Schizosaccharomyces pombe: one gene and its partner. Changing the gene in region 2 together with the main gene of any one other region gives a genetic interaction. Each region holds a gene or a part of one and is shown on either strand. Other genes may lie near its edges.

Region 1 (3,756 bases), on a different chromosome or scaffold from region 2:
TATGAAGAAAGTGAATGCTCGATACACTAAGACCATAAGTTGTTTATCCCTCTGCCTCTTCCACACTATTGCTTTTGTGCTTTGGTGTAAAGGTGAATCGCTCAGGAGTAGGACCTAGGAAGAACTCACTCAATTTAACCCAGTCCGTAACTTTATTACTGGCCAAGAGAGTTTCCATCTCATCTCTCGCGGTATATAGAGGCGGTCTATCATTTAATCTGGGCCTTTGAACTTCGTACAAAGCTATAGGTGTATAACGATGGAAAAAGCTCATAAACTCCAAGAAAAATCTCCTAGTCGTATTGACTCCTTGAGAGTCAGAACCCCAATACTCTAAACCATTATTACAGTATTGTTCCAACATTTCGAGTCGTTGAGTTGATGACTTATCAATAAACTGACGAGCTTCAATTTCTTCAAAAATCCATGGCTTAACGAGTGCACCTCGGGCAATCATCACAGTATCAACACCCTTGTTAACACCATCATACCAATCCTGCCATGAATAACAGTCTCCATTTCCAATCAGCGAAAGAGGTTGGGTACGCAAGGAGTCCTCAGGAAGTTCATCTATTCTCTCATTCATACTTTTTACTTTAGAAGCAATTTCACCAATATAATCCCAATTTGCGTTTTTACTATATCGCTGTTGGCGAGATCTTCCATGTAATGTAGCAGCTGAAGTGTTTGTTTCGTTGAAAATTCTACCAATTAAATTTTTGACAACTGGGTGGTCGTCTTTGTTTCCCATACGAAGTTTTACGGTGACAGGAATTTGGCCAGATACCGCATCCATACCTTGGAGATTACGAAGTAACCTGCCAGGATTCTCGAGAAGAGAAGAACCGGCGCCTTGACGAAATACCAAATCTATAGGGCAACCGCAATTTAAATCGAGAAAATCAACGCCATCACATTGTTCAGCTATTACTTGTGCAGTTTTAGTGGCCTGCCAAAGTTTTCCGGTAGCTAGTTGGACCCCTAATATACCACGACGACCACCTCGCATCATTTCACGCTCATAGTTTAGCCCACGAACAAGAGCCCACTCAGGTTGATGACCTTGCATAAGTGGATAACACATCGCCATTTCGGAGTAAAACGTATCAGCACCCAGAGAGCCACAAAGACGACGAAAAGGTGGATTTCCAACGGTGGTAAGAGGAGCTAGAATCTTTCTGTCTCGCCAGTCAATGAGATTTTTTTCTTGAGGCCGTAAAGTAGGTAAAGCGATGTTTGACCGAGCTTGTGAAGAGATTTCTTTTAAATCGACATTGACCGAGACGGTTTGATTTTTTAACACCCCAGTTTCTTCCAGTGAAACAGATTCTGTCTCTTTTCCTTCGGAAATAGCACTAGTGGCATCTCTATTTTCCTCAGGAATATTGGATACTTTTGAAGAAGGGTCGGGCTTTTCTTCACCTAAAACTGCGGATATAATACTTTCAGCCTTTGATAGATCTAACTGTTTTGTTCTTAGCTTTCTCTGTACCTCTTTTCCAACAGTATTTACGGTAAAAAGCGTAAACTGCCCATCGGGTTTTTTTATAAGCTCGTACTTTCCGTCTGCATTGATAACAACATGGCCCGCTAGCCAGCGACATTTGAAACCAGCTGGGCATACTCCATACCGCTCGAATATAGGGCATTTGTCTCCAATGTCAGGTGCCTTGGTAGCAAGGTAAGCCTCCACATCGTGTGGGAATTTGCAGTTTTCTTTATATGGACACTCATTCCCAATAGATATAGCTGGACAAAGAGCGTTGTTCTCTTTTACGTGAATTTTTTCTCTCCGTTTATTTTGACCCCTCTCTTTACGCTTTCGTTTTTTATTTCCATCTTGTTTCACCAAAAATCTAAGGTATAGTTAGTAATTGACTATTGAAAGCGAGGTTCAAGCATACTCTTCCCGAATAGGAACCGCTCCAGTCTCCAATTCTGCCATTAAGTACCCAAAAATCCGATTTCCCTTGAATTTAGTAGTTTGCTTTATGCAAACTGCATATTTTCTCTAGATTCTGTGCGCGTCTGTGAAAATAAGATACGACGTAGCAGTGCAATATTCAAAATTAACGGTTTACATGATAGATTCGAAAAGCAATCATATTGCCTAATAGATAAAAAAAAACTCTAAAACTGCATAGTAATATTAACGCTATATGCTTTTAGGTACACAGTTATGTTTTGTAAAACGTAACAATGGCTGTAACTGTCTATTGAAATTAGAAATGTATAAATCTTAAAGACGTTTAGAATGCACACTTTTGAGATGCTGCTATTCATTGAGTTGTATATTCTTCAGATGCCAAGATATTACTAAGTTAAATTTAAACTGCTTTGTACTGATGACCATAATTCTTCATATTATGTACCTGTATATTTACACATAAACAGGAAATGCTAGTAGTTACACGTTTCGGATTTCTTTTATACTAAGGTAGATCTAATAATGGAGCTTCAATGATTAAGCAAGTAGCTCTATGCTTCCGAAGAGTCAGGACGGTGGTCTAATAATTAAGCTGTTGGTGAATTCTTATGTTTAGAATTAGGCATCTGAACTTTAATAAAAAGAATTAAGAAATAATATTTGGTTTAACTCCGATCAATTAAATCTTTGAAATTAGTTGGAGAATTATCGGTATAGTAAATTTTTTTGAAGTAATTATATTACCCTCACTAATTTATATTGAAAGAAACATACTAATTTTAAGTAGTATTTTTTTACCAATTGTTAAGATTGTTTATTCTTGGTTTAATTTAGCACTAAGTATAAAGTGCACCTTTCTAGTTACTCAACTTGACAATACCCACTACCTATACAAGATGAGTTTGAAAATACCTGGTTTGGCTGATATGCATGTTCATCTAAGGCAAGATAATATGTTAAAAGCTGTAGTTCCAACGGTCGCAGAGGGTGGAGTCTCTGTTGCGTATGTAATGGTATGTAATAAGTATTGTGCTATTCAAAAAATTTATTTGAAGGTTACAAAGGTTTAACTTTTTAACGCGTATAACAGCCTAATTTAATCCCCCCAATTACTACCGTTGATGCCTGTTTGCAATATAAAAAAGAAATTGAGCAGCTTGACTCCAAGACCACCTATTTAATGAGTCTTTATCTCTCACCGGAAACTACACCTGAGGTTATTTACGAAGCTGCAAAAAAGGGAATTCGAGGAGTTAAATCATATCCGAAAGGAGCTACTACCAATTCTGAAAGTGGTGTTGAAAGCTACGAACCCTTTTATCCTACCTTTGCTGCAATGCAAGAAACAGGTATGATTCTGAACATTCACGGAGAAGTTCCCCCCTCTAAGGATAACACCGTTTTTACGGCTGAGCCCAAGTTTCTTCCTACTTTACTAGACCTTCACCAAAGATTTCCAAAACTCAAGATTGTGCTTGAACATTGCACCACTGCCGACGCTGTTGAGGCAGTAAAAGCATGCGGTGAAAGTGTTGCGGGTACTATAACTGCCCATCATCTTTATCTCACACAAAAAGATTGGCAGGATGATCCTTATTGTTTCTGCAAGCCGGTAGCCAAAACCGAACGAGACCGACGTGCTCTTATTGAAGCTGCTACCAGTAAAAATCCCAAGTTTTTCTTTGGGAGTGATTCTGCACCTCATCCTAGGTCTTCTAAACTGAAGACGCCACCGGCAGCTGGTGTTTTTACCCAACCTTTCGCTGCTTCGTACTTAGCTGAAGTGTTTGATAAAGAGGGTCGTTTAGATGCTTTGAAGGATTTTGCAT
Region 2 (3,756 bases):
TCATCCCCTCCTCCACTGGTGCCGCCAAGGCCGTCGGTAAGGTTATTCCCGCTCTTAACGGTAAGCTTACCGGTATGGCTTTCCGTGTCCCTACCCCCGATGTTTCCGTTGTTGACTTGACCGTCAAGTTGGCCAAGCCTACCAACTACGAGGACATCAAGGCTGCTATCAAGGCTGCCTCTGAGGGTCCCATGAAGGGTGTGTTGGGTTACACCGAGGACTCTGTTGTCTCCACCGACTTCTGTGGTGACAACCACTCCTCCATCTTCGATGCCTCTGCCGGTATCCAACTTTCTCCTCAATTCGTCAAGCTCGTCTCTTGGTACGATAACGAATGGGGTTACTCCCACCGTGTTGTTGACTTGGTTGCCTACACTGCTTCCAAGGATTAGATTGCTTCTTTCGATTTATTCCGTCGTCAATCTATATCTCTCTAATCAGCCGTTGTTAAACTCCAAGCTATTCAACTGAACATGCGTTCGGTTTTGGGGGGTCTTACATATGTGCGAACTTTTGGTTTTTTATTCTTATGCTTGTTTTCCCCCTTTTCCTTTTCTGGGGTTTGCTACGATAATGATAGACATGTATGAGATTTTCCTCTTTTATTCCACGTTATCATTTTGATTGCGCTCCTAGGGCGATCTCTATAGCTGACGACCTTTCTACGAAATAGATTAAGATATAATTTTAAATGAATTGTTTTTTCTTCACTTGTTTTTAATGTGTAAAAAATCCGTAAAGTATGTGGTGTATGAAAATTTTGATTTGAAATGTGGTAGTTTATTGGAGGTAAAAAAGGTAGACTGATTTATAAAGCATTATATAGTTATCATAGTTGCTTGTTAGCATTCTATTACCGTTTGCATTTGAGATAATTGTTTTCGTCTTGATGATAGATATTCGCTAAGATGTTTCCATAAACTTGGCCCACGCTTTTTTGGGTGAAGTAAATAATTTTTCAGTCCTTTTGAGGGCCTCTGCTGCCTATCTTTACTGCCCCTATTTGCAAGTTTCTAGAATGGAAGTGTAAGTCAAACGATAAGAAAAATTATATATTAATAGATAGCAATTTAAATTTAGCATTTTCATTCTTAGTGTTCGTTCACTCCACTTTCCAGATCAATCTCAGACCATCAAGTATGATGATGAAAGCGAGTGTTCCATTTAGGCGGTTCTCGCAACTCTTAATGTTTGATACTTAGAGCTGTTTGTGCTTCAGAAAATTATTCAAAAAATTTCATGCTTGCATTTGATTCTTTTCTGGATAACAGCTAATCCTGTTTTTTGTATTTTGTCCTTTGGTTTTTTGATACCGCATTGCTAGTCACATGTACCCTCATAAAAAATACAGTTATATCTAAGCGAGAAACAATCGCTCGATTGCGAGGCTCATCTATGGAACTGTTTATACTTGTGTCTCATGTTCCAATAGCTTGAAAGTGTGTTTAAGCATGAGATTGTTATTTAAATTATCAATTCATATAGTAACAATATCTGCTTTGGTGCCAAACATTTGAATTCCTTACGAACTAATAATAAGATTGCTTCTCAGATTTCTCAGTGGAATACTTCCATTAGTAACTGCACCATGGGAGTTTGAAAGCTGCTGTCTTTCCTTAAATTACAATAGTCCGTGTAGAAGATGAGTTTTTGGTTCGTTCAATATGTGACTACTTGTTCACCTATCTTTCGCTTCGGCTCGTACTCTACTTTTCAACGCCTGCTACTTGGCTGAACCTCTTAGTAAGTAACGGATGTAGAACGGTTCTTACCAAAGCCAACGTCTCTCTAATCGACATTTATTTCAAAATTCTATCAGTGGAGAGTATATATTGAGGTTTATAGCTTTTACGGGCCTCGAAAACCTCGTGTAGTAAAATTTGAAATTGTTGGGAGAAGTATGACCTTAAATCCTTCGACTCTCAACAATGGAACTCTTGGGGACCTGAAAGAGCACAAGGATGTCGTCTTGTCTAGCAATGCGCAGACCGATGAGAAACGTTTCGAAGAACCGTCGCTAGAGGTGGGAGGATCGTTAGCGAAAGTGGAAAATGGCCTTTCCACATCAATTTCATCATCTGCAAGCAATTTGGAGGGACAGCAAGCTCCTTTCTTTACTAAGCAAAATTCGTGCTTGTCACGCTTTCGTGAGCTAGCTCAGACTTACAACATACACGAAATTAATCTCGAGGAGTACGTTTCCCAGATAAAAGAGGTTAAACAATCTCTGTACTCCGACGATAGCGTATTTAATGAATCCAAAAGTTCTTCACCTCCAGATGCTCATACTGATAAATATTTCACTCCATGTGGATCCCCTACTAAGCTGATACACTCGACACTATTGGAAGAGAGAGATACTCCGTCCTCCCTAGAACATGTTAGCTTTTACCTTCAAGAAAGCGCAGTATCAGAAGTTCGGTTTGATAAACCTTCAAACAATGGTCCTCTAGGGAGGTCATCCCTAAATCTAAGCTCCCTTTCACACGAGTTACAAACTTCACAAGATTCTCCCTCCTTGTCGGCTACGAATCAACTATCCTCATCAGATACGTTGGAACCTCTCCAATACCCACCATCTTCATTTGGCTCTCAAAGACAGTTCAATGCCTCTCAAGATTCTCCAAAGCGAAGCCCTTCCAAGGGATCTTGGTCCTCTATCCTCCGCCGCCCCTCTCTTACTTACTCTCCAAAACGTCAGTCCACTGGCTTGCATCGTCGTTCTTTAACGAATTATTTTAAATTTCCTCATCGTAATGCACATCAACATAATGCAATTGCTCATAATCCTTCCGTATTTGGTAAACCTATCGGCGATTTAACGTCAGATCCCACAAATCTTTGCAAATTTACATTTCCCACTCCTGAATGTGCACCTCCTTCTTTGTTGCTCCCACATATTTTTGCTCAATGCGTACATTTTCTATCTTTAAATGCTTTGCATGTACCGGGAATTTTCCGCATTAGTGGTTCTGGTCCCGTAATAAAAGCAATCACAGAATACTTTTATTCTCCACCTCATTTTTGGCTTGATGAAACATCAGAAATTTTTAAGCGTATTGGATTTCCAAGTTATATCGATATAGCAGCTGTCTTAAAACGGTACATTATGTTATTGCCAGGTGGCCTTTTTACGCATAAAGATATATTGAATCTTTTAGTACCATTATACGTTGATTCAAGTAGAGTAAAGGTTCCTATAGACATCCGGAATGAAATGGCCGCTCTTTGCTTTTCACAAATAGATTCTTACGTGCGCTTTTCTATCCTTTGCTCTCTACTAGCATTATTGCATCAAATAGCTACACGGACTCAAGAGTTGGAAAATGGAATGGAAAATACCAAAGACTCTACTTTGATGAAGCCGGAAGCCCTTGGTATTATTTTTGGTCCTTTATTGTTGGGTAACTCTTCTACTGATCTTTCGAAATCTTGTCCTTCTGGAAATGTGAATGACCTTATGAGATTTGAAACCGAAAAGGCTAGAGTTGAAGCCAAGATTGTAGAGGGACTGATTATTCACTGGCCAGAGGTACTACTTAAAATCAATTCTCTCGACATACCCAATTGTTTTTCTGATGTTGGGTTAACTGACCAAGTTGCTATTTTTACTCCTGCAGTCCCGAAAGAAGATTCTCCAGAACAGATACCTGAAAATGTGAATGCATCTGAGGAAAGTTATCCTAATGTTAAGCATATCTCGAAGCTTCCTTTAATCAATGACTCTTCCGATAATGAATCGGGTAACCAAGAAAA

The links. A genetic interaction does not mean that the proteins touch.
Region 1: mutations in rga6 (region 2) and dus3 together harm fitness more than expected from each alone (negative genetic interaction), as found in Schizosaccharomyces pombe (one large-scale study listed by BioGRID).

The regions. Positions count from the first base shown.
Region 1 is NC_003424.3:4,427,873-4,431,628, reverse strand, and holds the start of dus3 (tRNA dihydrouridine synthase Dus3), read right to left. Parts: upstream 1,994-3,756; 5' UTR 1,946-1,993; coding exon 1,905-1,945; exon of another isoform or gene 1,857-1,904; coding exon 44-1,856; 3' UTR 1-43. Other genes in the region: dihydroorotase Ura2, read left to right, coding at 2,824-2,940, 3,018-3,756. UniProt on the Schizosaccharomyces pombe protein: Catalyzes the synthesis of dihydrouridine, a modified base, in various RNAs, such as tRNAs and mRNAs. Modifies the uridine in position 47 (U47) in the D-loop of tRNAs. Also able to mediate formation of dihydrouridine outside of the D-loop of tRNAs.
Region 2 is NC_003423.3:579,347-583,102, forward strand, and holds the start of rga6 (Rho-type GTPase-activating protein Rga6), read left to right. Parts: upstream 1-1,798; 5' UTR 1,799-1,900; coding exon 1,901-3,756. Other genes in the region: glyceraldehyde 3-phosphate dehydrogenase Gpd3, read left to right, coding at 1-392.